4 linked regions of the Alligator mississippiensis genome follow. The main gene of each other region encodes a partner of the protein of the gene in region 3 in a complex. Links are inferred from orthologs where the notes say so. Each region holds a gene or a part of one and is shown on either strand. Other genes may lie near its edges. The genes, in order: B9D2, B9 domain-containing protein 1, MKS1 and TMEM107.

The links.
Region 1: MKS1 (region 3) and B9D2 share a complex: the UniProt entries of both Homo sapiens proteins name them as parts of the tectonic-like complex. The link is inferred for Alligator mississippiensis from reciprocal best matches to the Homo sapiens genes MKS1 and B9D2.
Region 2: MKS1 (region 3) and B9 domain-containing protein 1 share a complex: the UniProt entries of both Homo sapiens proteins name them as parts of the tectonic-like complex. The link is inferred for Alligator mississippiensis from reciprocal best matches to the Homo sapiens genes MKS1 and B9D1.
Region 4: MKS1 (region 3) and TMEM107 share a complex: the UniProt entries of both Homo sapiens proteins name them as parts of the tectonic-like complex. The link is inferred for Alligator mississippiensis from reciprocal best matches to the Homo sapiens genes MKS1 and TMEM107.

What each region holds. Positions count from the first base shown.
Region 1 is NC_081838.1:1,541,086-1,548,990, forward strand, and holds B9D2 (B9 domain-containing protein 2), read right to left. Parts: upstream 3,018-7,905; 5' UTR 2,598-3,017; intron 2,164-2,597; 5' UTR 2,161-2,163; coding exon 2,073-2,160; intron 1,645-2,072; coding exon 1,519-1,644; intron 1,436-1,518; coding exon 1,122-1,435; 3' UTR 512-1,121; downstream 1-511. Other genes in the region: EXOSC5 (exosome complex component RRP46), read right to left, coding at 4,455-4,547, 4,705-4,794, 5,002-5,142, 5,297-5,418, 5,621-5,734, 5,811-5,907; BCKDHA (2-oxoisovalerate dehydrogenase subunit alpha, mitochondrial), read left to right, coding at 6,378-6,443, 7,007-7,186, 7,264-7,350, 7,440-7,548, 7,646-7,807. UniProt on the Homo sapiens protein: Component of the tectonic-like complex, a complex localized at the transition zone of primary cilia and acting as a barrier that prevents diffusion of transmembrane proteins between the cilia and plasma membranes.
Region 2 is NC_081836.1:55,341,162-55,348,370, reverse strand, and holds the start of B9 domain-containing protein 1, read left to right. Parts: upstream 1-4,204; 5' UTR 4,205-4,248; coding exon 4,249-4,314; intron 4,315-7,209. UniProt on the Homo sapiens protein: Component of the tectonic-like complex, a complex localized at the transition zone of primary cilia and acting as a barrier that prevents diffusion of transmembrane proteins between the cilia and plasma membranes.
Region 3 is NC_081837.1:29,523,847-29,530,698, forward strand, and holds the start of MKS1 (tectonic-like complex member MKS1), read right to left. Parts: upstream 3,001-6,852; 5' UTR 2,988-3,000; coding exon of another isoform or gene 2,971-2,987; coding exon 2,891-2,970; intron 2,795-2,890; coding exon 2,678-2,794; intron 724-2,677; coding exon of another isoform or gene 720-723; coding exon 659-719; intron 625-658; exon of another isoform or gene 1-624. UniProt on the Homo sapiens protein: Component of the tectonic-like complex, a complex localized at the transition zone of primary cilia and acting as a barrier that prevents diffusion of transmembrane proteins between the cilia and plasma membranes.
Region 4 is NC_081838.1:25,049,576-25,057,237, reverse strand, and holds the start of TMEM107 (transmembrane protein 107), read right to left. Parts: upstream 3,002-7,662; 5' UTR 1,961-3,001; coding exon 1,874-1,960; intron 1,271-1,873; coding exon 1,203-1,270; intron 930-1,202; coding exon 829-929; intron 742-828; coding exon 645-741; intron 110-644; coding exon 4-109; coding exon of another isoform or gene 1-3. UniProt on the Homo sapiens protein: Plays a role in cilia formation and embryonic patterning. Requires for normal Sonic hedgehog (Shh) signaling in the neural tube and acts in combination with GLI2 and GLI3 to pattern ventral and intermediate neuronal cell types.

The sequences.
Region 1 (7,905 bases), on a different chromosome or scaffold from region 3:
CACCCCCGCAGCCGCAGCTCCCAGGGAAACCCAGGGCTCCTGCCCTCCCCCCCCCCGCTCTAACCACTAGGCCCGGGGCCCAGCAGGCAGCCCCCTGCTCTAACCACTACACCCCACTGCAAGCGGGGGGCGGGGCAAAGACAGGTCTCCAACCCCTCGCCCCGCCCCCCTCTCCCAGAGGACCCAGGTGTCTGCCCCCTGCTCCTTGCCCGCAGACCCCTCCCCTTCCCAGGCATCCGGGAAGCCCCCCCCCGCCCCCCTTCCCGGCATCTGACCCCTCGTTAGGCTGAGCCGAGCCATGGGACTGGGCGGGGGGGAGGGGGGGTCTCTGCCCAGCCATGGCAGGGGTGAATGGGGGGCACAGGGGGGATGGGAGCCGGCAGCAGGGCGCCCCCTGGTGGGGCAGCGCGGAGGTCATGGCAGCTAGTGGAGGGGGCTTCTTTTGCCCCTGGGGGGCAGGAGGTGCCCCAGGGGAACCTCTGGGCAGAGACAAACTCCCCCCGAGACCTCGTGGTACAAAAGAGCCTTTATAGAAAAAGGAGGGGGGGTCTGTACAAATGGGGGGGTCTCAGAGCCGGGAGGGAATCCTAGTGCAGGGGGGTCTGGCCCCACATCAGCGCCAAGACCAGCAGCGCGGTGGGGGGGCCTCTGTCCGCCCCCAGCCACAGCCCCTCGGCCTTCCCAACCTCCAGGGTGGGTCTGGGGGGGCAGGAGGGGCCCGCGGGGGGTCCATGGGGAGCCTCAGGGGGTCAGAGGGTGTGGCCCCAGGGGAATGGGGGCAGGGAATGACTGTGGGGGGCTCTGTGGGGGGGCCAGGGGATAGTGGGCGGGCAGGGGGAACCTGTGGGCAGTAGCGGGGGGCCGTGGGGGTCTCTGGGAAGCGCCAGGGAGTAAGAGGGGTATGGGGGGGGGGAGGTGTAGCCACAGGGGAACGGGGATGCAGGTAGAGGCCATGGCAAGCATGGGGGGGCTGTGGGGGGCAGAGGGTAAGAGGGACAGGGAGATCCCGTGGGGGGGATCTGTAGGGGGGGTTTATAGGGGGCCCCAGGTGGTAGGAGGGGCATTGGGGGGTCAGGGGGACTCTGGGGGTCCTCAGGGAGCGCCCGTGGGGGGGGGTGGTGCTAGCACTCAACGCCGTAGCGGGCGAAGTGGCGCGGCAGGACGCCGAGGCGCAGGTGCACGGTGCCGGCGGCGGTGGTGCGCAGGCGGTGGCGCTCGGGCGCGGCGGCGGCAGCCTGGGGCTGGCGCAGCTGGGGGCCCCCCCCCACGAAGCGCTGTGCCAGGCGCTCGGGCCACGACCCCCGCGGGCGCCACGTGGGGCAGGCGATCGTGTGGCAGCCGGGCGCCGCTGGCACGTGCAGGCAGCCGTAGCCGTACAGCTCCGTGCGCCCAAACCCGTCCTGGTGCCACACCTGCAGGTGCAGCTGCGGCCAGCCTGAGGGGGCAGGGGCAAGAGGGGATTAGGCAGGCTCCTGCGCCCCCATCCCAAAATGCCCCCGGGGGGGGGCAGGTTCTCACCCTGCAGCCCCTTGGTGGCGAAGTGCACGTCAATGGGGTGGCACCAGTAGGCCACGTCGTCCAGCTGGGGCTGGTCCACCTGCGTCTGCCCCTCCGGCAGCCCTGACAGCAGCTTCCAGGCGCCGCCTGCCAGGGGGGCACGGCCGGATGGGACCCAGGCACCCGCCCCCCACCTGCCCCCACGCTCCCACCACCAGGCCCTGCTCCTCTGCTGGGCCTGGGGAGGGAACCCCTCACCCCCCCCCCCAACAACCACTAGGCCCTAAAGTCCAGGAGAGAACCCAGGTGTCTGAGCCCCCTGCTCTAACCACTACACCCCACTGCTAGCTGGGGGGGGGGAGAGCAAAGCCCAGGCCTGCAACCCCTCGGCCCCCTCCGCTCCCAGGTGTCTGGGCCCCCCCCTCCGCCTGCTCCTTGCCCGCGGACCCCTCCCATCCCGAGGAGCCCAGGCATCCGGGAAGCCCCCCTCTCCCCCTTCCCGGCATCTCACCCCTCATTAGGCTGAGCCGAGCCACGAGACTGGGGGGGGGGGGGGAGGGGGGGCGGGCACCGACCTGCGTGGATGCCCCACTTGCAGAAGAGGCTGGTGCCGGGGAAGCCGCTGGCGCCCACGATCTGACCGATGACGTGCAGCTCGGCCATGGCCTGCGGACCCCGCGCCCGGCTCAGCACCCCGGGGACGAGCTGCCGGTGCCCCCCCCCCCACGCCCAGCCACTGCCCCGCACCCTGACCCCTGCCCCCACCCACTGCCCTGCGGCCCCCTGCCCCGCCCCGCACACCGACCCCCTGCCCCCACCCCCCAGCCACTGCCCTGTACCTTGACCTGTGCCCCCCCCCCCGTGCCCCCCGGGGCCCTGCCAGCTTGCACATGTGGACACATCTGTCACACCTGTGTCTGCACCCCCGCACATACCCCCTACCTTGCACACTCACTCTGTGCACACTCAGTGTAACAACCCCCATGCATGTCGCCACGCGCACTCGCTCGCTCACCCACCCTGCGCGTGCCCCCTTGCACACTTACCCCATGCCAGCCCCTTTGCACGCTTCACTTGTGCCTAACCCCTCACCCACTCACCGTGCAAAGCCCCTTGCACGCTTTACGTGATGACTCCCCTCTTGCAGTTATGCAAAGTCCATTGCACACTCACCCGACACACATCCTTGCACACTCACCGTGCCAACTCCTTTACATACTCTGGCAACACACACACCCTTGCACACACACCCGGCCCAGCCCGTTGTACCCGCTGGCACGCTCCCCCTATGCGCACTCCTTTACACGCTTGTCCCGTGCACGTCCCTTACATATTCAACCTGTGCACACGCCCTTGCACACTAACCGCGCAAAGCCCCTTGCACACCCCTCTTGCACCCTCACCCTATGCACACACGTGCGCCTGCACCCGCAGGACTCCACTCGCCCCTGCACTCCGGACCACTTCCGGATGCCGCTGCCACGGCAACCGGGCAGGCCCCTGCGGAATGCCGGCTTCTGATTGGTCGGAGTACCGAGCGCGCTGACGTATCACTCGCAGCCCCGCCCAAGAGAGCGGGAGGAAGGGAAGAGAGCGCTGCCCGCCATCTTGAGGAGGTCGAACTGCCGCACGGAGAGCGCCGCCATCGTGGGAAGGGAGCACGATGGCCGGGCGCAGCGCCACCTTGGGTGTGGCAAAGCAGCATTGGCCGCAATAGGAGAGCGCCACCATCTTGGGTGGGTCACAGGCCCGGGGGAGGGGCTCCGCCGCCATATTGAGTGTGGCAGGGCCCAGGGGCAGCTACTCTAGGATGCCGCCGTGCATGACCACCCTCATGGGGGTGCCACAGCTCCACCGCAGCCACCCCAGAGTACCACCGTCACCTTTAGGGTACCACAGCGCCATGGAAACCCCCGTGAGGGAGCCACAGGTCTCAGCTGCCTTAAGAGGGGCATCATGGCTCCAGGGCGGCCAGCGTGGAACTGCCCCAGCCCCATGGCAGCCACCCGGGGGTGCCACAGCCCCAGGGTGGCTGTTTTGTGGGGTGCCACGGCCCCTCACTGTACACCTGGGGCAGGCCATGGCCCTGGGGACACGTTTTCCAGCAACAGCCTTGCTGGCAGCCCGAGGTGCCCTGCCAATGCCCTGAGGGCCACGGATGGGCCCTACTTCCCCCTCCCTTGCGCCCCAGCAGCACAGGCCCAGAGGTAGATAGGTCTGCACGTAGCACCCTCGCTCTGCGGCCTGGCAGCCCTATGGGCCTCCACCCCTGCCTTCGAGAGGGGTCCGGGCCAGATCTGGGGCTGTCGGTAAACGAAGAGCCCAGCCACAGCGCCAGGCTTGTTAGGCAGAGGCTTGATAGGATGCTGCCCACACCCCCAGAGCTCATTAAATGCAGCTAACGGGTCCCCCGCCCCAAGCGCCACAGCAGCCGTGGAGAGCACAGGTCCCACCACCCCCTGGCAGCCCCTGCCCCCCAGTCCAGCCAGTGCCCCTCACCCCCAACCCACCGCCCCCTGCCCGTGACCAGAACCAAGGGGAAGACTGGGGGTGGGGGTAGGGAAAGGTGGAGAGAACCACCCCCCCCCGGGGATGGGGAAGCCACCAGTATACGTGTGTACACACACACACACACACACACACAGGTAACCAACCACAAAAAACATGTGTCATTAAGGACAAGACAGATGCTTGGGTGCTGGGGGGCAACAGCACAGACCGTGTGCTCTTTATTTGGGGACCCCAATGCCAGAGCAGGCCCCCCCATCCCACCAGAACACTGGGTAGCCCCTGGGCGGAAGCACCCCTCACTCCCACCCCTCCGCCCCCACTGCTGCCCCTCACTCCCGACCCACAGCCCCCCCCCACCTTCAGTTCAGCTGCCCATTGCTGCCCTGAGGCATGTCCTTGCCCCCCCCCCCCCCGGGTCTGCGGGGGTCCGGCTCCCCGCAGGGGCCTCAGCTCTTGGAGAACTTCCTTCTGGCCGAGTCACGGTAGAACTGGAAGATGGTGTCGGTGGCGCGCTGAGCCAGAGCCAGGCACTGGTGTAACTGGGAGGAGGAATAGAGGTCAGGGCTGCACTAGGACCCCAGTACAGGCAGGCAGGCAGGCAGCCAGGCCCCTCCCCCCCAGGAGACAGGACCCCACCCAAGGCATGCTGGGATTGCCGAGCACCCCCAGCCTAACGGGGACGACGGGGGCGCTCACCTCCTTGGCAGAGCAGGCCCCGCGCGTGGTGGAGAGCAGCAACCTCTTCTCCGTGCTCTCGAAGGCGAAGGTCAGCACCGCCCGGGCCTCCTGCGGGGCAAGAGTGTGACCCCAGGCGTGCAGGCTCCCCTCTGCCCCCCAGCAGCCCCCCTTCCTCCTGCAGCCTCACACCAAGGAGCGATCCCGTCCTAGATTTTAGGCCCCCCCCTTACTCCACGCACGAGGCATCGCCCCCCTCCCAGAGAATCCAGGCGTCCGGCTCCCATCTGCTCCCCCATCCCTTACACCCCCCCCCACCTTCTCCTGGCGGGCGCTGGGGTCCAGAGCGACGGCGCCGTCGGGCGCGAGGGCGCAGGTGACCCCGCAGAAGAGCGAGCGCAGGGGCAGCCCCGCGTCCAGCAGCGCCAGGCAGGCGGCGTTCAGGCAGCACGACAGCAGCTGGGCCCGGGGTCAAGGCCAACGACCCGGTCCCCGGGGCCTAGCGGTTAGAGCAGCCTCACCCCCACCCCACCCCCCGTCCTTCCCAGGGGGCCCGGCGAGGTTGAACGATGACGAGGGGGGGTGCATCTCTGCCCCCCCCAGGGCAGGATACGGAGCCGGCGTCGCTGACGACCTGCAGCACGAGGGTGACGGAGGAGCGGGGGTGCAGCTCGCCCAGCAGCGCCGCCTCGCACGCGCGCCGCACCATCTGCTCCCGGCTCCGCTCCAACACGCCTGCGGGGGGTCAAGGGTCAGCAGGAAGCCCCGCCCCCCGTGACCCTCCAGGGAGGGCATCACCCCCCAGTGCAAAACCCAAGTGTCCAGGCCTCTGTAGGCGCCCCCACCCCGTCACGTGATGGGGAGAAGCCCGTGCCCTCCCCCCCACGGCACGGAGGTGGAGGGCGGGGAATGACCCCGGGGTCAGGGGTCACCTCACCGGGGAGCCCCACTTTGGGCCGCAGCAGCACGTCCAGCGCGGCGCGCTCGGGGCTCTCGCGGCTGCTCCGCACCTCGGCCGGGCCGTAGACGCCCGCCAGCACCGACGTGTCGCCTGCGGGGCACCGGGGTCAACGGGGGCGGGGAAAGCCCTTAGCCCCGCCCCCACGCTCGAAGCCCCGCCCCCGCACCCTGCACGAAGGCGGCGGAGCCGTCGGGCCGCGACAGTAGCCCCTGCTCCACGGCAAAGGGCCGCAGGGCGCAGCCCGGCTCCGGCTCCGAGCCCATGCCGCCCGCACGCGCAGCTTCCGCTTCCGGGGCAGCCTTCCCCTCCTTCCCAACGCGGCTCCTGCCCAATCGCAGCGTCTCTTACGCGCAGTCCCCGCCCCTCGAGGCGGGTGGGGGGCTGGAACGCACGGCAGCCAATGGATGCGCCTCTTGGGCGCCCCTACCCCGGATAGGCCGGAGAAGCACGCGCCCCTGCCAATCACGGCGCCCAATGGGTGCAGGCCCCGCCCCTCTCCCTGACAGAGGGGCCGGGCGCGGCCCAGCCAATCAGCGCGGCGGGGTGCGCGAAGCCACGCCCCCTCTCCCTGACAGGGTGTGGCGTTGTTCCTCGTTAGCCAATCAGCACACCGCGTAGGCATGGGGCGGGGCCACCGTGGGGGCGGGGCTTCCCTAAAAGGGCAGAGACACGCCGTTGCTATGGTGACACCCCCATTCCCCCTTCTCCCATCGGCCCCCGCGCCCGCACCAAGATGGCGGCGGCCTGTGGCATGCGGAGGGGCCTGCGCCTCCTGCAGCTGCGGGGACTGCGCACGGGGGTGAGCGCGGGGGCGGGGCCTGCGGGGCGGGGCCTCGGCGGGGGCGGGGCCTGGTGGGGCACATCCCCCCTAGGTGGGGGGCACGCGAGGGGGGTGTCACGTGTGTGGGGAGGCAATCCTCCCACAGTGGGGTGGGGCAGGGGTTCTCCTGGGGGGGCGGGATGAGCTTTGCCCCCCCAGCAGTTACCCCCACCCTGTTTTGGGGGGGGCAGAGCTGGCTTTAGCCCCCCTGGCAGCTCAGAGGGGTATCAGCCCCCCCATCCTGGGGCAGGTGGCAAGCACGCCCCCCAGCCTCGGCCACTGATTGGTCCGCACCGGGGGCGTGCCCCCCCTCCCCCAGCTGGCCCCTCCCCGCGGCCTTGACATTGCCGCACCCAAGGGCACCCTGGTCCAGGAGGTGCCGGGGGGGGGGGGGGGGGGGCACAGGGACCGCCCCAAACACCAGCCCCCCCGGGTGTAGATGGAGGGCAGAGCCCACCCCTTCCCCGCACAGCTCGGGGGGCCCGTGACATCATCTGGGGGGGGCACCGCGGGGCCTGATGGGTAACGGCGCCCCTTCCCAGCATGCCGCGAGGCAGCAGGAGGAGTTCCCGTCGCCGGCGGAGCGCCCCCAGTTCCCCGGCGCCTCGGCCGCCTTCGTGGACACGCTGGACTTCATCCAGCCCAACGTGCTGGCTGGCATCCCCGTCTACCGCGTCATGGACCGCCAGGGCCAGATCCTCAACCCCAGCCAGGACCCCCAGGTGAGGGGGCGCGACCCCCGGGGTCACGGATCCGGGGCGCCGCCCACCCGCGCTGACCCCGCCCCCCGTGCCCGCAGCTGCCCGCCGAGACGGTGCTGAAGCTCTACAAGACCATGACGCTGCTCAACACCATGGACCGCATCCTGTACGAGTCCCAGCGCCAGGTGAGGCGCGCCTGGATGCCCGGGTCCCTTGGGGGGGGGGGGGCGGGCTGGGCTCCCGGCGCCACCTGCCTCGGTTTCCCCCCTGCCAGGGCCGCATTTCCTTCTACATGACTAACTACGGGGAGGAGGGCACCCACGTGGGCAGCGCCGCCGCGCTCGACCCCACCGACCTGGTCTTCGGGCAGTACCGCGAGGCAGGTAAAGCCCTGTTGTGACCCCCCCCCAGGGGGGCTGCCCCCAGCCCCTCGAGGCGGGGGTCGACGACGGTGCCTCCTGACGTGGCGCCGTGCCCCAGGGGTGCTGATGTACCGGGGGTACCCGCTGGACCTCTTCATGGCGCAGTGCTACGGCCACGCCGGCGACCCCGGCAAGGGCCGGCAGATGCCCGTGCACTACGGCTCCCGTGACCTGCACTTCGTCACCATCTCATCCCCTCTCGCCACCCAGATCCCCCAAGGTGAGACCCCTGCGCTCCCGACCTCCTGACCCCCCCTGCCCCGCTGGTGCCGCTCGCTCCTGACCCACAGCCCCCAACCGCGCCATTGCCCCTCGCTC
Region 2 (7,209 bases), on a different chromosome or scaffold from region 3:
CACCTGCACTCGTCGCACACTGTGCTCAGCACTGTGATGTCTGATAAGAGGAGACCTTGTAGGAGGCTGCCCTAATTTGCACCCCTGGTTAGCAACCGTTTGGGAATCGAGAGCTTGGAGGTGACAGGTTGCCCCAAGTTTCATCTGGCTAAGGTGGCTTGCAAAGCCTGCCTGCGTGCGGACACGAGCCGTCTCACGTATCTCATGTTTGCCTGGCTGCATGGCTGAAACGTGCTGGCCGGTGCATGTTGTGTCCTCGAGCCGTGAAGGATGCGGGGCTGTTATGGGGTCCGACTTGGCACTGGAGTTCAGACTGGAAAGGCCTGAGGTCTTGTTCACGCTGGGAAAAGATAACTGGAGTAGCTGTACCAACCAGACACCCCAGGGAGAAGCTACTTAGGCACACCAGTTCTTTTACTGGTGTATAATATACCAGTTCCCTGACTAGACTATGGGCAAAGGCCCGATCCTGCAAGTATAAATGTCCCTACACTGGGGCTCTTGCCAGCACCATGATGCAAATGTAGATGTACGTGACTTATTTTTCCCCCCACAGTATCGTCCATCATCGCTGGGAAAACTTTTCCAAGTAGACTGGGAACCTCAGCAGTCAGTGCCTCCAGCTTCTCAGCCAAGATGGTACTTCTCACCGGTGGGGAGCAATATCTCTTCCCCTCGTCATTCAGCAATAGTCTCAGCAGATCCCAGCAACGAGCCCATCTCAGCACTTCACCCTTCTGCAGGATGAGAGGTTCTGCTAAAGGAGCTGTGGTTGTGTTCATCCATTTCTTAAGCTGTCCTCCCCCATGAAATGCACTGTAAATCGTCTCCTTGGACCAATGTGCAAATCCCCCTCCTAACTATATGGCTCCCTAAAGCGCTCAAATATGGACAGTGAGATTCTCCAAAGTTTCTACGCCCCTAAATCCCACTGAGTTCAGCGAGAGCTAAGCACCTAAATATCTCCAAAAACCTGAGCTAACGCTGTTCAGTTATGGTGAGCGTGCAGGGTTAAGAGTTACTCTGCCCTCTTTGTCTTGTAAAATATTGTGGTGCCTTTAAACTTTTCTTTCAACAGCAATGTAAGCCATATTTCCTTTTAATGATAGGAGCAGCCCCACAACTGGTAATCCGCTGGTGGCATCTAGTGGCAGTCAGCAGCGTTACCTATTTATGCGGCAGCAAAGTTTAGATTTTCTTTCAGGTGCCGCAAGTCCAAAAGAAACAGGCTTATTCTCTGAACGTTACATTTTCAAATCAAAATATTTGTTTTGGAACCAAGTGAACATCGAGGCTATTTTTCTCTGGCAGAAACAAAAGATTTTGCAATCATCTCTTGGACGCCTGCTAGAACTGGCTGGGTTTTGTACAAGGAACGTTTTGTTTCTCATGCGGTCAGGCCGCTGCCTTGCGGATCTGATTGTAGCCGCCCACTGGATATCGGAGAGCAAAATGGGATTTGCTTGACCTGATTCTTATCAGAGGTTTACACCATGTGTCGAATAAATAAGTCTAAGGGCAAGCCCAGTGTCCAGATGCGTTGGATGGGGCCTGCGGCACTTGAATATACGATCAGGTTTGTATGTATATGGTGGCTTAGGTGAAATATAAGCAGATTCAGTAGACAGTGGTCTAGACACTCAGGGTAAGTAAGGCATGAGATCAAGTTAGGCCTCCAGTTTTTAAACTTTAACCCAGGACAGCTGGCAGAAGTTATGGTGCACCATGCCACTGCGTGCCGAAAGCAGGAACGGGTCGATTTTGAAGGTGTGGGGGGATGAGGCTGCCCACTCCTTTCAAGACAGTGCCTTCTCTCTGCCTGGCCCCAACCTACGCACTTGCCCTTTCTCCTCCTCTCCCAGCAAATCTACTTCTCCCACGATGCCCACTTTGTTCCAGGCCTGTGTGACGCGCCTAAAGCTTCATTCTTGGATGCCACTGTGTGGAGACAACCTTTAAACTTCCTTTCAACCCGAGTCTGACTTTTTGAACAGGCCAAGCGAACTGAACAGAGACACTGGGCGTGTCTATACGTGCATGTACTGTGCAGCAAGTTACTGCGCAGTAAGCGGTTTTTAGGCCAGCATCTACACGTGCAGGCGTTACAGCGTAGGAAGGCTGTGTGGACTGACTTGGGACTAAAGTTAGTCCAGAGTCAGTCCACACACAATGTTACTATGCTGTAACGCCTGCACACGTACACGCCTGCACGTGTAGACTAACTAAAGCTAGTCCCAAGTCAGTCCACGCACAACGTTACTATGCTGTAACACCTGCACGTGTAGACTAACTAAAGTTAGTCCCAAGTCAGTCCACACAGTGTTACTGCACAGTAAGGCAACTACACGTGCCTTACTGCGCAATAACTAATTGGGCATAAATTTCCTACCTCAATCATGCAAGTAGCAAATTTACACCCAAGTCAGCCTAAGTCGCCATAGTAACTGCACAGTACGGGCGTGCACGTGTAGACACGTGCCCGTACTGCACAGTAATTTTCGGTTACTGCACCGTAACCTAAATTATTGTGCGGTAACTGTGCATGTGTAGACGCACCTACTGAATGCATCCAGGTAGATTAGTGCTGGCTCCTAGAGTTAGCTGTGCTGGTTCGCCTTCTCCACTGGCTGCCCACCATCTCGAGGGACTCATCTGGTTTTCCAGAACAAGGAAATACTTCAAAATAAACCCCTAGCAAAAGGCTGAGACAGAGTCCAGAAACAGAGATACAGGGAGGTTTCCAGGGACTCAAAAGAGCCCAAAAGCCAGCTCATCAGATCCCCTTGAAAAACCAGTTTGTTTCCAGCGTGGGCTTCAAAAACACAACACGCAGCCACCTCTACGTTCTCTTAATAGTGTATCTATTTTTTAATAACTTGCTTCACAGAGAAGCCGGGCTGGAAGGGATCTCCAGACGTCACCAAGGGATCCTGAGGCAGGATCATCCCTATCTGACCCATCCTATATGAATCCATCATCTAAATTGGACAGAAGAGCTTCTGCCATCCTAGCCGGCGACCAGCGGGGTATTTTCACCCCATTTCCAGCTTCCGAAGGAGCTCTGTGAAAAGCAGATGGGAGGCAAGGCGTTTTGAAACGGCAGGCGGTCTTCCCTGGTGAAGAAGAATAGGGGTTTTGACTGCAGGGGTGCCAACTTCCTTTGAATCTATTCCAGGAGGTTTCATCCCGTGACGGGACAACATTCATTACGGTGCGCAGACTTCACGTCCGGAAGGCCGGTGCACGGGACGCTGACATTTTACAAACCCCACCGGACTACTGTACAAATCAGATTCAACATTGCATATTTATCCGAATGAATGCCCTCTCATTTATCCTCCCAGCGACTCTCAGTCATCTCCTAGGGGTTTATATCTAATTCCTGGAGATGCCAGGGCAGTCCTGGAGGGTTGGCAATGACAACCTCGTCTTGAGGAAGGTGGAAGAGGCTTTCCCTAGGATCTGGGGGCAGAGGAAAGCCGTACGCCTGCTCCCCAAGCTTGTCACACTCCGACAATGCCAGCCCTGGGTTTCATTTGGGGTTGCTTCTTGTTTTGTTTTGGGCGGTTTTTTGACTCTAGGAAAACCTGCCTCGGGTTTCACTGTTTCTAGTAAAAAACCAAAACAAAAAAAAACCAAACAAAACAAAAATCCCAAAAGGGACCAGCCTTGGGTTTTACTTTTTCTAGTAAAAAACAAAAAAAAAAACCCCAAAAAACAAAAACCGGAAAGGGACCAGCCCAGGTTTCACACTGTCTAGTAAAAAGCAACAACAACAAAACAAACACACAAAAGGGACCAGCTTCACATTCACTTTTTCTAGTTTAAAAAAAAAAACTCCTAAAAAACAAAACAAAACAAAAAAAACCACAAAAGGGACCAGCCTCAGGTTTCACTTTAAAAAACCCAAAAAATACCCCAAAAGGGACCAGCTCAGGTTTCACTTTTTCTAGTAAAAACAAAAAACAAAGATACAAAAAAAGGGACCAGCTCAGGTTTCACTTTTTCTATAGAAAAGCAAAGCAAAGCGAAGCGAAGCGAAGCGAAGCGAAGCCAGGCGGGGTTTGATTGCGAAGCGCTCCGGACAGCCCGCAGCAGGGCAGAGCGCTCCAGCCCCGGCGCTGGCCCCGCCCCTTTGGCGCAGCGCCGCCCGCGAGGAAGTGTGTCCCCTGCGCCTCGCCGTCCGGTATCTAAGGAGCGGCGCGACAGCGGCCCTTAGCAACGAGCCGGGGCGGGCCGCCCGCCGCTATGGCCGCTGCCGCCAGCCCCAGCGTCTTCCTACTCATGGTGACGGGGCAGATCGAGAGCGCCCAGGTAAGTGCGGCTGCACTCATGCGCCATTACACCCCCCCCCCCCCCCACGTTGGAGTCTGGGGTGACCGCCCCCTTCCTCGGGGCGCCCCCTGTAGGCTGATGTCCCCGACTCCCCGCAGAGCGCATGCGCCATTGCACCCTGTGCCGGGCAGGACGCCGAGCCTCTGCAGAGCACATGCGCTGTTGCGCCCTCTGCTGGGTTAGTGCTCACGGGTCCGGTTCCCTGGAGAACGCATGCGTCATTGCATCCTCTGCGGGGCACGAGTGGGGGGGAGGAGCTTGCGCAGAGCGCATGCGCTATTGCGCCCCCTGCTGGGCTGGAATGCAGAGAGCATGCACCAAGTTGGGCAGCAGGGTGGAGGGGGCGCCCTGGGCAGGGGGCAAGGGTGGGAGGGGCATCACCCCATTATTGGTGGCGTGTTTTACCCACCAGGTGGGATTTGCCCCGGGATAAATTCTTTTCTCCCAGGATCATGCAAAGGGATGAGCCCCCTTGACGTCTGTGGGAAGCATCTGGACGGCAAGTCCGATCCAGGACTTTGTCCCCAGACATATCCCACCCCTGCACTCACCCCGGCTGCACGGTGACCCAAAGAAGGGGGTTTGCACCCGAAAGTTTGCAAAGAAAAATTGTTCCATGTCTTCCATTTGGTCTAATAAAAGATACCGGATTTACCCAATGAGCCTTGTCTGTAACATGACCCAAAGAGTAATGGCAATGAGCTCGAACTAGCCCCGATCATCCGGGGGGAAAGGGCTCCTCTGGGCTACTGATTAGACAACCGATTAGATTCAGATTTCAGCATTTCTCAGGCAACCCCAGCGGGACTGGCCGTTCGTCCACATCAAGTACGCAGGAAGCGTCCAAATTAATGCTTGGCCTTGGGACGCTCGCAGCTAATTCAAGTTCATTGCCATTTAACCCTGGTGTTCAGACAGCTGAGCTACATCTTTTAACGTGAGTCAAATCTCAGGCGAATCAGTTTTAATGCGAGTCAAATCTATCAGCCGTGGATTAAACCTGTCATCTGTTTATTACCCTCAAAGACTTGACAGGTGCTTAATATGGGACGAGGAGCTTGTAAATCTGTAGGATGCCAGGATTTATTTTATATATATATATATATATATATATATATATATATATATATATATAAAAAAAATTATATATATATATAAAATAAATCCTGGCATCCTACAGATATATTTAAAATTTGTATCCAAGGCCAAATTAGCCAAAACTAATTCCAAATCCAAGAGTGCAGAACCATAAGTGGTCCTACTACTGGCAAACATCCTCCACCTGCACCTGGGGCTTCAGATGTTTCCAAATCCTTTGGTGGGCATCCCAATGGCAGACCCAAGCCCGGAGGCTGGGGGTTCGGATGCCCCCGAGTTTTGCTTGCCCTTAGCCATAAGGCCCTTGGAGCAAGCAAGGGAGAATGCCAGGATAAAAGGCTTTGTCCCAGGATAAATTGGTCAGCTGTTCACAAACTTGAAATCATGCATTTCCCTGAGATGATCGTAGAATCATAGAAAGTTAGGGTTGGGAGGGAGCTCAGGACGGCACAGCTAGTGCAACCCCCTGCTCAAAGTAGGACCAGCCCCAACTACAGCATCCCAGCCAAAGCAATGTCTAGCCAGGTTTTGAAAATCCCCAAGGATGGAGACTCCACCACCTCTCTGGGTCACCTGTTCAGTGCTTTACTACCCTCCTAGGGAGAAAAATCTTCCAAATATCTAACCTGAACTCCCCTTGCTGCAACTAGAGCCTGTTGCTCCTTGTCCTGTCATCTGCCCCCACTGAGACCAGCCCAGCTCCATCCTCTTTGCAGCCCCCCTGCAGGGAGGTGAAGGCTGCTGTTCAATCCCCCTCAGTCTTCTCTTCTGCAGACTCAATCAGCCCATTTCCTTCAGCCTCTTCTCACCAGTCCTGTCCCCAAGCTCCTGAACCATTTTTGTTGCCCTTCGCTAGACTCCAACTTGTCCACATCCCTTCTGTAGTGGGGGCCCCAAAACTGGACACCGGACTCCAGATGTGGCCTCCCCAGTGCTGACTAGAGGGGAAGAATCACTGCCCTCCATCCTGCTGGCAATGCTCCTACCAACGCAGCCCAGGATGCCGGTAGCCTTCTTGGCACCAAGGGCACATTGCTGGCTCATATCCAGCTTATTGTCCGCTGTCACCCCCAGGTCCTTTTCTGCAGAGCAGCTGCCCAGCCAGTCACCCCCAGCCTGCACCAGTGCATGGGATTGTTCAGTCCTAAATGCAGGACTTTGCACTTGTCCTTGTTCAACTTCATGAGATTTCTTTTGCTCTAGTCCTCCGATTTGTCGAGGTCTCTCTGAATCCTAGTCCTACCCTCCAGCATATCTACTACTCCCCCCAGTTTGGTGTCATCCACAAACTTGCCAAAGGTGTGCTCTATGTCACCTTCCAGGTCAATGAAGACATTGAACAAAACCAGCCCTGGGAACAACCCCTGGGGCACTGCACTTGATACCGGCTGCCAACTAGACATCGAGCCATTAAGCCTGATGCTCCAGCGAGTTTTCTATCCACCTTGCAGTCCATTCATCCAGCCCATGACTTCCTTAGCTTGCCTGCGGGAATGTTGTGGGAAACCGTATCAAAAGCCTTGCTAAAATCAAGGTACACCACATCCACCGGTCTCCCCACATCCACAGAGTCAGTCACCTTGTCAAACAAGGCAATCAGGTTGGTCAGACATGACTTACCCCTGGTGAATCCATGCTGACTGTTCCTGATCACCTTCTTCTCCTCCAAGTGCTTAGAAATGGATTCCTTGAGGACCTGCTCCTTGATTTTTCCAGGGACTGAGATGAGGCTGACTGGTCTGTAGTTCCCTGGATCCTGCTTTTTTCCTTTTCCTA
Region 3 (6,852 bases):
CCATTCCTTCTGATGGAATTACTTGGCTGAATAAAGCTGCTCAAATACATGCATGCAGGACTGAGCTAAGGTTGATTTAGTGCTTTAGTGGCTGTAATCAAATGAAGTACACAGATTCTTTGTAGTATTAAATTGGATAGCTCCATCAAAAAAATGGTGAAAATTTAGGTCACAGCCATGTTTCAACTGGAGACAAAAAGCCCCTATCTATAGGAGAACCATATTTGTGAAAAAAAGGCTGATGCATTACCATTTGGTCAACATCTAAGGAAGTTTCATAGAAACTAACTATGCAAAAATTAAGATGGCCAATTCTTGTGAGATTAAGAAGGAAACATTAAGGCTGTGCTTTACACACAGATTCAGACCTCCGCCCTGAAAATATTTCACAGAAATCAAGCTGTACTTTTGTTGTTTACACACACACACTGGGAGAAAATATTATTGAAAAGCCTCCGAGAAGTACATCAGAAACCAGTTCTGCTTGTTCCTGTTCTCTAATTTGGTACTGACCACACAAGAGATCAGAGAGTAGCCACCCCTTCTAAACTGCAGCAGCACAACTGGGAGTCACAGGAACCTCTATTCCTCTTCGCCATTTGAAGAAGATGCCAGAGGCTCCTGCTGGCAAGGTCCTCCCACTCTTCCACTGGCTCACCTGACTGAAGAGTTTCTCCTGCCATCCAATCACTGCCTCTTCTTCCTCATCATCAAGACAGCTACCTAGAAGATAAGAGGTGTCAGACCACTGTTTCATATCTCACTTGACCCTCTGACCCTGCTTCAGAACTGTGAGCAAAGAGAGCCCTTTGAACATTTCTTCTCCATTCTGTTTGGTTTTACGGGCAGCATCTGGAACTCACAAGGTAGCCACACTGCCACATTTTGAATTCCCAAAGCACTTATACCTAGAGAGCAAGAAGCTTACGTTCAGATCCAAGCAAGGCTTCCGGTGCTTCTCTCTATGGTGGCATGGGAAGAGTACTCGCAGCTGAAGCCCCGTCAACCACCAAAGCCTCATGTCCACAGGCTGAATTCAATGGCTCTGCAGGCCCGATTCAGCCTGCAAGTCATAGGTTGCCAACCCCTGATCTAGACAAATTACCAGGCTGGACACTTTTCTGTATATTTTCCAGCTCTAATACCACATTAAAGAAACTACAAATGCATCAAGTCCTTATCATATCATTTTTACATGTAAGCGGTTGTAGCTGCCACTGGCATGTTAGGTGATAGTAAACAGAGTGGACTAAATGCAAGGGAAAGTGTCCAATGGAGGATTAAGACATGGTCCATACTATAGAGGTACTTGGGAACCCTTGACAAATATTCCAAGGAATTTGCTTTTCCCTGTGGACATCATTTGCTTTCTGTGGGTCTCTGAGTTTAGAAATAAAACTAGACGATAGGGAGGAATTGCTTTTCGTTTGCAGGAAAGAAAAAGAGCCCCATGAGTTGAACAGTCCTATGTCTAACAGTAAGTACACGACACCCTCGTTAACACAACTGCTTTTCCTCGTGAAGACAGCCCCAAAGAGACAGCCCCTTAGGCTGGTTGCACTTGCATCACCCTGGCTTGAAAGACTTCAGTTTGAATCTCAAACCCACCTATTGCTCCAGAGGAACCCAAGAGAGGCAAGACCTGCCTTAGTTGGGAGGAAACATTTGATGGCCTGGGGAGGGCGAAACCTTTTCAGGTTGCAAGCCAGACCGACCCAGTTCAGGTCAGAGGTGGGCTTGTGCACCGTGGGCAGGCGTGAGGATCCAGCTGCTGTCACTAGTGCTTTCTGCAGCAGCTAGGCCGGGAAAGCACCCACCACTGCTGCTTTTCTCTGTGGTCTATAGCTGGTGCTCATCCCCATGACAGCACGGGAAAACTTACCTGGCAGCGGAAACGCCATGTATCTGGGTCCAAGAAGGCAGTTTTCCTTAAGCCCTCCCAGGGATAACTGTTCTTCTGGCGCGGTTTAGTACCCACCGAGGTGTTGGGGCTTAATGCCTATTTTATGGAAATGGGAGGCTCCTCCCCAGCTTGCTCCTGTCACCACATGGTTGCAGGCAAGCGAAACTTGGGGGCATCCAAACCCCAAGCCTCCAGGCTGATGCCCGCCAAAAGACATGGGAAGGATCTAAAGCCCCGGCAGGTGGAGGATGTTCGCTGGTTGTAGAGCCACATATGGTTCGGGCCCGACTCATGGATTTGGACGTGATTTGGCTCAGAACACAATTAAAAAAAAAAAAAAGACAGCAGGGGAAAACAGCTGCTGAAGGGCCCACGGCTGCGGGGGAACGTGCTGCGAGCAGAGGGGGAAACAGCAGCGCCAGGTGTTTTCCTTGCGCAGTCACTGGGAAAAGCAGCAGGAGCAGCTGAGTCCTAACATCCCCCCCATACCGGGTCAATCTGGCTGTAGAAACCTGGCTCCTAACATCTGCCCAGCACGGACCCAGTGTGGGGGGGAGAAGTGGGTGCTGCAGCACCACATCCATGGCCAGGACCCGGGTGTCACCGCACTGCTGGACTGCCAGGGGCAAAAGCAGAGGCTAGGACAAGCCGGCAGAGGCCCCGCTCAGCCCGGAGAGGCCCCGGGGGTTGCAGGGCGCCAGGCCCTGAGGCTCCCGGGGAGACGTGGCTGGGGCGGCCGGCTCTGAGGAGGTCTCTGCGGGGGGACGACGCCACCTACTTGCCGCGGTGCTGGGGGTGGCCGGGCCCAGGAGCTGCTTCCCCGGCGGGCCGGCGGAGCGCGGCAGCTGCTGCAGGAGGAGGCCGGTGGACGTGACGCGCTGGAGCCGCACCCTGGCGGGGGCACGAGGGCACGGAGCGGTGAGCCCGCGGCCGGCGGGACGGGGACGGGGACGGGGTCGGGGACGGGGAAGGGGGGCGGGCCCTCACCGGAGGCGCAGGTTGCGCACGGGGTCGCGGGAGCGGTAGACGGCGCCGCCCGTGTCCGTGCTCCAGGCCGGCTCCGCCATGGCCCCGCCGCAACCATGGAGACGGCGGGCGCCGCCCCGTCTGCGGCCCAGCGCCCGCCCCGCCCCGCCCCGCCCCGGGCTCCAGCCTGAGCGCCGCGGGGGAAGGGGCCTCCGCCCCCACAGCGCCGCGGGAGGCGCGCACGGATGTCGCCTGGCTGCACCGGGGTGCCATCCGCACACCCACCAAGGCAAGCGGCAGATTAAAAGCCCAGTCGTGCAGGCGAGCCAACTGCAGCTGGCTACTAGCATCAAGGACGGTAAGTCCTTTTTCAGATCTGCGGGGAGCCGGAGGAACAGCAAGGGCAACACTGGACCCCTGCTGAACCAGATGGGACAACTGACAACCGACGCACGGGAAAAAGCCAGAGACTAGCTGACAGCAGCATCCTGAGGGATCCCCAGCACGGGTTTGCTGCCGGTAGGTCGTGCTTGACCAATCTCATTCCCTTTTACAACCAGGTGACCTATCACCTGGACAAGGGGAAGAGATTGATGTTGTATATCTTGACTTTAAAAAAGCCTTCGATCTGGTATCCCATGATCACCTCTTGGCAAAACTGGCCAACTGTGGCCTTGACCTCACCACGATCCGCTGGCTGGGGAGTTGGCTCCGCGGCAGGACCCAGAGGGTGGTGGTTGACGGAAGTCAATCGTCGTGGTGTGCGGTGATCAGTGAGGTCCCTCAAGGCTCTGTCCTAGGGCCTGTACTTTTTAACATCTTCATCAATGATGTGGACACTGGAGTCAGAAGCAGACTGACCAAGTTCACCGATGGCACCAAACTCTGGGGTAAAGCATCCATACCTGAGGACAGGAGAGTGATCCAGGCAGATCTTGACAGGCTCATGAAACGGGCGGATGAGAACCTGATGGTGTTCAACACCGAAAAATGCAAGGTTCTCCACCTTGGGAGGAAAAACCTGCAGCATCCTTATAGGCTCGGCAGTGCTATGCTGGTTAGCACTACAGATGAAAGGGACTTGGGGATCATGATTGACCACAAGATGAACATGAGCCTTCAATGTGATGCTGCAGCTAGTAAAGCGAGCAAAACGCTGGCTTGCATCCATAGATGCTTCTCAAGCAAATCCCAGGACGTCATTCTCTCGTTGTACTCAGCCTTGGTGAGGCCGCAGCTGGAGTACTGCGTCCAGTTTTGGGCTCCACAATTCAAAAAGGATGTGGAGAAGCTTGAGAGGGTGCAGAGGAGAGCCCCGCGCATGATCAGAGGTTAGGAAAACAGACCTTACGATGAGAGGCTGAGAGCTATGGGACTCTTCAGCCTGGAAAAGCACAGGCTCAGGGGTGATCTGGTGGCCACCTATAAGCTTATCAGGGGTCCTCACCAGGATCTGGGTGAACGTCTGTTCACCAGAGCACCCCAAGGGATGACAAGATCGAATGGTCACAAACTCCTCCATGACCGTTTCAGGCTGAACATAAGGAAGAACTTCTTTACTGTCTGAGCCCCGAAGGTTTGGAATAGACTGCCGCCGGAGGTGGTTCAAGCACCCACTTTGAATGCCTTCAAGACACATTTGGATGTTTATCTTGCTGGGATCCTATGATCCCTGCTGACTTCCTGCCCCTGGGGCAGGGGGCTGGACTCCATGATGCTTCAGGGTCTCTTCCAGCCCTAATGTCTATGACTTGCAGCTGCTGAATGCAGTGCATGACTCCTCGCACTCTTGGCTGGTATCAAATCTTGGCTGGTCAAATCAACATGCAGCATTGATTTGAGTGCATCTTAGTTTCTTCATGGCCAGCCCAATAACAGTTTGCATGTGTATTGTTTTCACAGCCTGTCTGCTTCATAAATGGAGCCCTTAACCCAGCAACCACTAGCGTCCGGACTGGGCTTAATACCTGTAGGTGTAGAAAACAGTTTGCTTTTCTTCTGCATTGGTTCATTATTAGATGAATATATTGATAGTCCTGGGTATGACTGAAAACTGCACCCGATCGGGGTTTGGGGTCACTGCGGTGGGACTGCTCGTGCTGGAGCAGCCCCTAGAAAGTGCTGCCAGGGCCAAGGCCCGAGGAAGGGCAAGTCTGGGGAACTCTAAAACTAGGGCTGCACCGATAAACATTTTTTGGCTGATACTGATAGCTCATTATTAGCCAGCCATATCGGCCGATACCGATCCAATTGCCAATACGCAGCCTGGCAGCTTGGAGAGCAGCGTCCGGCTGGTAAGATTGTGGGGGGGAAGGGACTGAGAGAGAGAAGGAGCGTGGGGGGCAGATCGAGGCCCCCACGGTGAGGGAGGGAGTGGGACTGGGGCAGGAGCAAGGGTAGGCACTGCCCAGCCAAGGCAGGGCGTGGGATGGAGCCAGCAGCACATCCAGGGGGCGCCGAGGGTGGGGAGGGGGAGCAGCTCCTGGCACTGTGTGCACACCGAGAGAGGTATGGGGGGCATGTGTCTCTCCGGATTTGTGCGTGGGGGTGAAGGCAGGCTGCTCACTGTAGGTTTGGGGCTAGGGGCTGCACAAGCGTCTTTATAGCAGGGGCTGGGCAGGTGGCAACAGTAGCACTAGGAGGCGGGTAGCAATGGGGTGGGCTACAGCCACCCCAAAATTCACCATAGCCTCCTCAGTAGCTCTCCCTCCCAGAGCCACAGTCACCCACCCCACCCTCCCCTGCCCCAGGCACAGCCCTGGCTCAGTACCCATTCTGGAAAGAGCCCAGTGCAGCCCCTGGCCCACTTTTGCCCCATGCAAATTGTGGCGGCACATGCCTCCCCCCAGGGGTGCACACAACAGCGGGAGCTCCCCACCCCAGACAAGTTGCCTGTGGCTTCACCCTGTGCCCCACCCCACCCCAGCTGGGCAGCACCTGCCCCAGTCCCACTCCCTCCCTCACTGGTGGCCTCAATTGTCCCCCCGCACACGCACACCCCTACCCACCCCATGCTCCTTCCCCCCCACATACTTACCGGCTGGGTGCTGCTCTCCAAGCTGCCAGGCTGCATTCCTGGCTGCATGCATGCTGTGGCTGTGCACATACACACAGCATTTATTGGTAATATCAGCTGCATCAGCCAAAAAGAGCTGATTGCGGATAATGTCAATTTTCCTTTTATCAGTGCCAATACGGTATGGACCAATGTATCAGTGCACGTCTACCTAAAACCCCAGCCCCCACTGCCTTGTGGGTTACCCCCTGGTGGGTAAAGATTAGAGGAACTGACCCCGAAATAAAAGTAAAGGCAGGGCCAGATTATTAACTAGAGTAGACAGCTATACCTGGCTCCCTCTGGAAAGTCTTTTCTGGTGGATCAGGTGGTCAAGCAGATATGCTCATCTCCCTGTCTGTGAAGGCAGATCTGTCAAGAGCTGTATGGAAAGTGTAGGGCATCAGTTCAGGTGCAATAGGAGCTGATGGCCATCTACTGCATCCAGACTTGTCTCCAGATGTCTTGACTCACCTAATGTCATGCCACTGGATTCAGACAGGCCTGGACAAAAGAGTGTGGGTGACTCTGCACAACTTTCCCTCACTTAAATCCAACTTGCACACAATTCATAACATCATCGTCATCTCCCATAGACACACTCAAGTCCTGTGGCGATGGGCGAGCAGCAAAACAGCAGGTGTGGATACACTGGGAGCTGTAGTTGCAGACCTGTACACAGGCAGTTCAGGGCACATGATCACTTCTCACTGGACCAAAGCAGCAGTGGAATTCAGCAGCCCCCTGGGCGACTGGGCAGCCCTATTTAGGTTCACACTGCTCACCTCTGTAGTATGAAGAAGGGGCTAGAAAAGATGCCCTAAACATTTCATAGACATTAGGGCTGGAAGGGACCTCACAAGATCATCAGGTCCAGCCCCCTGCCCAAGGGGCAGGAAGTCTACTGGGGTCAAATGATCCCAGCAAG
Region 4 (7,662 bases), on a different chromosome or scaffold from region 3:
CGCTCAGGAAGAGGGAGAGGCTGATGGCTGCGCCACAATGCGCCCCCAGTGCTGCGCTTGCTTGTCAGGGAAAGCACCCGGGACCCGGACAGCCCTGATCCAGGGGCACCTGCTACCGGGGAGGGGAGGGGCAGAGTCCTTCCACCTCCAGGGGGCCCCAATCCGGGCCTGATCCAGGGGCACTTGCTGGCTGGGGTGGCAGGGGTCTTCCCACCTCCGGGGGCCCCGATCTGGGCTTAATCTGGGAGCACCTGTTAGCTAGGGGGGAGCAGGGGTCTTCCCACATCCAAAGGGGACTGATCCAGGGCCTGACTGGGGGGGCACCTACTGGTTGGGGGGGAAATGGGTCTTCCACATCCAGGGGGCCCCGATCTGGGCCTGATGGCAGGGCACAGATCTCTCCACATCCAGGGGCCCCCGATCCAGGGGTACCCACTGCCTGCAGGGGCGGTGGGCACAGGTCTTCCCACCTCTGGGAGGTGCTGGCCCAATCTGGGGCACCCACTGGCTGGGGGGGGGCAGGGGTCTTCCCACCTCCAGGGGGCCCCAATCCAGGCCTGATCCAGGGGCACTTGCTGGCTGGGGGGCAAGGGACAAGACCTCCCCGCTCCAGGTCTGGGGGAAGGGAGGTTGGGGGCACTGACCTGCCGCAGGCAAAGATCCCCCAGTAAGTGGCGCTGTCCCACTGCTCGAAGAGGACGAAGAGGAGGGCAAGGGCAGCGCCCACGTGGGCCCCGCAGGCTGGGGGGGTGTCAGGGGCCACAACCGGAGCTGCAGGGCAAGACCCCCCAAAAGAGACCCCCCCCCAAAAAAGAGGTAGAAGGATACAGAGCAGGCCCTGCAGAGGGTTGAACATGGAGACCCCTGAGAGGAAGCCAGCCAGCTCCACCGCGAAGAGCCCCAGCGTCACCGACAGGGCCACCACCAGCCTGCAAGGGTGGGGGAGGAAGAGGGTGGGCCCAGGATCGGGCCCCCTGCCCCTTGGGTGCCTGGCAAGCTCCCAGGCCTGGAGAGACCCCAGGTGTCCAGGCTCCCAGTTGCCCCCTGCTCTCACCCCCTGGTCCTCACTCCCGTCCCAGCACCCAGAGCAGGGGGGCTTTCAAGACCCCCCCCCAAAAGCAGAGAGGCCCCATGTGTCCAGGCTCCCAGCCCCGTCCTGCTCTCGCCCCCGGCCCCCCAGGTACGTCCGGGTGGGCACGCACTCGGTGTCGCGGCGGCCGTACTCCTCGGGCGTGTGGTCCAGGGGCAGCGATGCCCGGACGTTGTCCTCCTGCGGCACAGACAGAGGCACGCGGGTTGGGGGGGCCGCGCTGCAGGGACCCCGGGCATCAGGACCCCCCCCCACTTTCACCCGCCAGGCCCGTGTGTGTGCACAGCGTGCGCCTCTTCCCCCGGGTGCAGCCATATGGGCGTGCGGCATGCCCCCTGCGTGTAGGTGTCTCATGAGTGTGCACAGTGTGTGCACGCTGCCTGTGGTGGCAGGCAGTGTGCAACCCATGTGTGTGCAAGCTGCACGTCCCCTATGTGTGCACGACACAGGTGTGTCCCCTGGGGTGCATGATGCATGTCCATCTCCCCTGTTTGTGTGATGTGTGTGCATGTCTCATGCATGTGCATGATGCATGTGCATGTCCTATGAGCGTGCGTGGTGTGCACGTGTTGCCTGCAATTGCAGGCAGTGTGCGCCTCATGTGTGTGCAAGGTGTGCCCCTATATGTGCGCGATGTGGGGGTGTCCCCTGCGTGTGCATGTCCCACGTATGTGTGATGTGTGTGCATGTCCCACACGTGTGCACGATGCGTGTGCATGTCCCCATACGCGTGCACGATGCGTGTGCAGAATGCAGGCGCGTGGCGTGTGCAAGCCGCCCTACCCGGGCCCAGAAGGCGCCGATGACGATGACGAGATGGGCCACGAGCGCCAGGAACCGCCACGGGACCAGCGCCGCCGCCGCCGCCATCGGGCCGGTGCCCGGCAACGCCCCGCCCCCTTCCCGGCGGCCCCCGCGCCCCTCCCCCTCCCCGGGTAACGCCCGGCGCTCTGCTGGGGGGGCAAGCTGTGCCCTGCGGTGTGACGTCACCCCGCGCTGACGTCATACCCGGAGTGACGTGGCCGCCCCGAGCGGTGAAGGCGTCGGGCTCGAAATGCCCCGGGGGCTCCGCGCGCGGGGTCGGGCTGCCCCCCCATAGTTGCCGGGGAGGGGGGCATTTTTGGCACCAGCTCTCCCCCCGCAAGGGAAAGTCCCCCCCATGGGCAAATGGCAGCACCCCCCCGTGGAAGAAGGGTAATCCCTCGCCATGGGCAAATGCCCCCCCCTTGCGGGCTCTGGCACCTGAGGGGTTAATGCTGCCCCCCCCCCCACGGGGTGCTACGATGGGGGCCCCAAGCGCAGGACCCCGCCCCGCGACGGGGGCGGCTCACCCCCCGCCCCCCGCCTACGACGCGAAGTCTCCGGCTACCGTATTCCCCCGCCTACGACGCGCGCCCGCGAGCTGCGGGCAATTGCGGGCTCGGCCCCGGGGCTGGCGGGGGCGGTGTGCCGACCGCGCACGTGCCAGGACGGCTGCCAGGACACAACGCCATAGACGTCCCGCCCCCGCCCCCCCCCGTCCTGCCGGACCCCTGGGAGCCCCAGCTGGCCCCGGGCCCTGAGGCAGCCGCCGGAGTGCAGCCGCCACGGCGCGGGCACGCGCGGTAAATGTAACGTGATACAACTGGGCAAAAGCGGCCCTGCCTGGCGCGGCCCGGGCTTCCCGAGCCCCTGCTCCGGGTCCGCATCGTCCTCCTCGTCGCCTGCCTCGGCTCCCGTGGGGGGTCCCGCCTGCCGGGGCTGGGGAGGGGCCAGAGGGGAGTTCCGGGCGGGGGGAGCCTGCCCTACTGGAGCCCCCAGTTTTCGCACTGCTTGGTACACACACACACACATACTTGCTATCACACACACACTCCCCAGGCATCTCACACACACACATGCGCACACATACGGAAAGACACACAAGGGGCATGTCACATGCTCTCTGCCCCGTCCCCCTTAGATCCCAGCCCCGCCCCCCGACACTCCGGAGACCCCCCTCCCTGCTCCATCTGTTCACACCGCCCCGGGGTCCCTGGGTGGGAGCTCGTGCCGCCCCCCCAGGAGGCCCCGCTGCCCAGGTCACGTGGGGTGCCTGGCCCTGGAGGGGGGGTCACTGCACCACGTGTGCCCGTGTGTATGTATGGGTGGGTGTGTGGGGTGTCCATATGTATGTGTGCCTGTGGGTATGTGCATGTGTGTGCGTGTTTGTGCGCGTGTGTGTCCCAGATAGTGTATGTGTGCATGTATGTGTTCATTTTGGACACCTGAGCTCTGTGTGTGTGTACATGTGTGTGGGACACCTGGCGGGGGGGGGGTGTCCATGCCCTGGATGCCTGGGTTCTCTGTCTCCCAGACACCTGGATTGTGTGTGTGTGTCCTGGACGTCTAGGTTCTGTTTGTATGTGTGTGTCCCCCACAAATGCCTGGGTTTTGTGCGTGTGTCCCACACACCTGGGTTCTCTGTGCACATAGGTGTGCATGTGTGTGTGTCCTGGATGCCTGTATTTTTTCTGCATGCATCTGCGAGAGTGTGTGTGTGTGTCTGAGCCCCCTGGGTTACCTATGCCTGAGCGCACACGTGTGCATGCTTGTGCGTGAGTGCATTTCCACGCATGTATGGGTCTATGTCCTGGATGCCTCAAGAGTTTGTACACGCGTGTGTGTGTATGTGTGTGTCCTGGACATCTGGGGTTTGTGCCTGAGTGCATGTACTTCCGTCCGCCCCGGACACCTGGGTCCCATGGGTGTCCCTGGGGTCCCCACAGCCTTCCCCTCCCCCACCGCGCCGTCTCGGTGCTGCTGGCACCTGGGGGAGGGGGCGGGCAGCCCAGGCGCCCCCTCCTGAGTCTCAGTTTCCCTTTCTGCAAGGAGTGGGGGACGGAGTCATGGGGCCGCTGACAGCTCCCGTGGGGGGTTCACACCTGCTGGGAAGGGGCCAGAGGGGAGTTCCCGGGGGGAGGGGGTGTGCGCGCATGCGTGGGGGGGGGGAGAAGCCCTGCAGTACTGGAGCCCCCAGTTGTGCACACTTCCCAGTACACACATAGACCCACATATACATGCCATCACTCACTCACACACACAGAAACATACTCAACCTAGGAATCTCGCAAACACCCACAAAACCCAGGCACACAACGCAGGCATCACACCCTCACCCCCACATCACAAACACACACAGATAGAAACACAGACAAGCTATGCATCACACACAGATGCACACACAAACAGAAATATGCACAAGCCAGGCAGCGCACACACACAAAACCTAGGCATCTCTCACGTGCACAAGCACACACCCACCCCGAGCATCTGACATGCATGCACACACACGCACACATACCCTAGGAATCTCTCTTACACACAAACCCCAGACACACAACCCAGGTCTCATACATACACCCCCACACTCACATCACAAACACACACACACATAGAAACACACACGACCCAGGCATCTCACACACACACAATCCAGGTATTACACGCACAAGCACACAGAAACACACACAGCCAGACACACACATACAAAAACACACACAGCCCAGGCATAGGCAGGCAAGGTTCCTTGGGTGAATTTGATATCTTTTATTAGACCAACCCAAATGGTTGGAGAGTAGTTATTAAGCAAGCTTTCGGGTTCAAAAACCCTTCGTCAGGCTAAGGAAGTTTCAGCAGTTGGTGTGTGCTCTTCCTGGATGGAAGAGCCCAGGCATCACACAGACACAAACACACACGCACAAAACTAGGCATCTCTCTCTCTTACCCTCCTCCATGTCACACACATTCAGAAATACACACAACCCATGCATCACACCCCCTCACACACACTTCACACATTCAGAACCCCCCCCCCAAGGCACCTCACTCTTGCACGTGTGCACACCCCCCAGGCACCTCACACATGCACACCCCCCCAGGTGTGAAGCGGATCTCACACTCCCCCCCCCTCCGGACATGCGGGGCCGCCTGTTCACACGGGGGGGGGGGGAGAGGGAGGAGGGGAGCTCGTGCCGGCCATGGGAGTGAGGGACATATTGCACCTCGTGTGCCCATATGTGTGTGTATACACCCACAAGTGTGTGTGTGTGCCCAAGCCTGTGTGCCATGTGTGTGCCCTTCTGTGTGCGTGTGCATGCCCCTGTGTGTGCATGTCTGCATGTGTGTGCCTGCATGCATGTGCACATGCCTACCTGTGTGTGTGTGTCTGCATGCCCCTGTGTGTGCATATATGCGTGTGTATATGCCTGCATGTGCCCTTGCATGCATGTGTGTCTGTGTGTCCACATGTGTGTCTGTGTGCCCTTGTGTTTGCATGCGTGTGTGCCCATGGCATAAACATAACCCCCCCATGTGGGGCCCCATGGGAACGGACATGCAATGCTTGCACACGCGTGTGGTGGGGGGCAGGGCTAGCGGCTGGGAGGAGGGAGTGTGGGAGGGGGAGCCTCCAGTTGTGCACACTGCTCGGTATGCACACATGCACACACGTCACCCAGGTATTGCACACACATACACACAGAAACACACATCCCAGGAATCTCACAAACATGTGCAAAACCCAGGCACACAACCCAGGCATCACACCCCCACCCCCACATCACAAACCCACACATGTAGAAACACACACAACCCAGGAATACACCACACACACACATACAACCCAGGTATCACATGCACACACAGAGAGAAACACAAACAACTCACGTATCACACACATGCATACACATACAGAAACCCACACAGCCCAGGCATCACACAGACACCAACACACATACAGAAATCCTAGGCATATCTCTTTCTCTCTGTCTCTCCCCCACCCAGGAATCTCACACACCCACAAACCCCAGGCACACAATCCAGGCATCTAATCCCCCACACCCACGTCACAAACACACACACATACACACAACCCAGGCATCACACAGACATGAACACTCATTCAGAAACACGCCCCCCGCAACTCACACATGCACCCCACACCCAGGTGTGAAGCGGATCTCACACTCCTCCCCGCCCCCCGCGGCTCTGACACACTCCGGAGATGCGGGGCCGCCTGTTCACACCTGGCGGGAGGGGGGGGGGGGCTCGTGCCAGCCGGGGGGGGAGGAGCAGACCCCAGGACGCCCCGCGCCCAGGTCACGTGGGTTGCCTGGCCCGGGGGGGGGGGGTCGGGGAGCACTGTACCCCGTGTGTGTGTGTGTGTGTGTGTGTCCCTGTGCTCATGGACATGTGCCCGAGTGTGCATGTGTGAGCGTGTGTGCCCTGGTGCGTATGAGCGTGTCGGATTGTATGTGTTTGTGTGTGCCCCTGTGGGTCTGTGTGTGTGTGCACACCCGTGTGTGTGTGCGTGTCTGTGTGCCCGCATGTGTGTGTGTGTATGGGTGCCCGCGGGCGTGTGTGTGCCTCTGTGTCTGCGTGCCAGGTGTACATAGTGTGTGTGTGCCCCTGTGCTGTGTGTATGTGTGTGCCCGGGTGTGTGCATATACATGGGTATGTGTGTGTGCCCGCGCGTGTGTGCGCCTTTGGTCACATGTGTGCGCGTGCCCGTGTGTGTGCATGTCTGTGTGTGTACTCGTGTGTCCGTGGCACGAACGCGCCCCCCCCGTGTGGGGCCCCGTGGGCGCGGACGTGCGGCGTTTGCACACGCGTGTGGCCCGGGCACGTGCCCCAGCCTCGGTCCCAGCCCGGCCGGAGGTGTCCCCACCCTCCCCACCCCCCGCGGGCGCACGTGCGGCTTTGAAGCGGATCAAAGCGCCGCCGCCGCGGGTTCCCACGGGAACAGCCGGCGACCCCCCGCTTCCATCGCTGGAGGGGACCCAGGCGTCCGGGGCCCCCATCGCAACCTGGGCGTCTCACACACACACACACACACACACACACACACACACACACACACACCCAGATATTCGGGGCACATACACGTGCACACATACACACACACAGATATTCGGGACACGGGCGCACCCCCCCCCCCACACACACACACACACACGGTGTCCGGGTTCCCAGCCCGGTCCTGCCCGCCCCCACCCCACCCACCTCTTTCGGGGGAGGAGGGAGATGGGGCCGGGGGCGGGGGTGCGGGACAGCGTGTCCCGGACGCCTGGGTTCCGCGTGTGCGTGTGTCATTTCTCACGCCTGGGTTGTGGTGCCCCAGAGCCCCGGGGGGAGAGGGGGGGCGTGCTCCGGACTCCTGGGCCCCGCGCCCCGCACGTGCGGTGCCCCCGCCCCGCCCCGGCGGGGGGGGCGGGGGCCGGTACTTAGGGCGGGGGCCGCCCGGACCGCCCCGCACAGCCAGCATGAGCCGCCCGCAGCCCGCGCCCAAGAGCGAGCGCAAGGTAAGCCCGGCCCGGCCCCGCCGCCCCCGGCCGCCAGGACCCCCGACCCGACCGGCCCGCGACCCCCCGGGACCCCGACCCGACCCTCCAGGACCTCCGACCCACTGGCCCGCGACCCCCCGGGACTCCCGACCCGACCCGACCCGACCCGACCCGACCCGACTCTCCCGGGACCCCCGGCCCCCGCCCGCCGCCTCCTCCCCTCTCCCTCCTTGCAGCTCCTGAAGCCGCTGCTGGAGAAGCGGCGCCGGG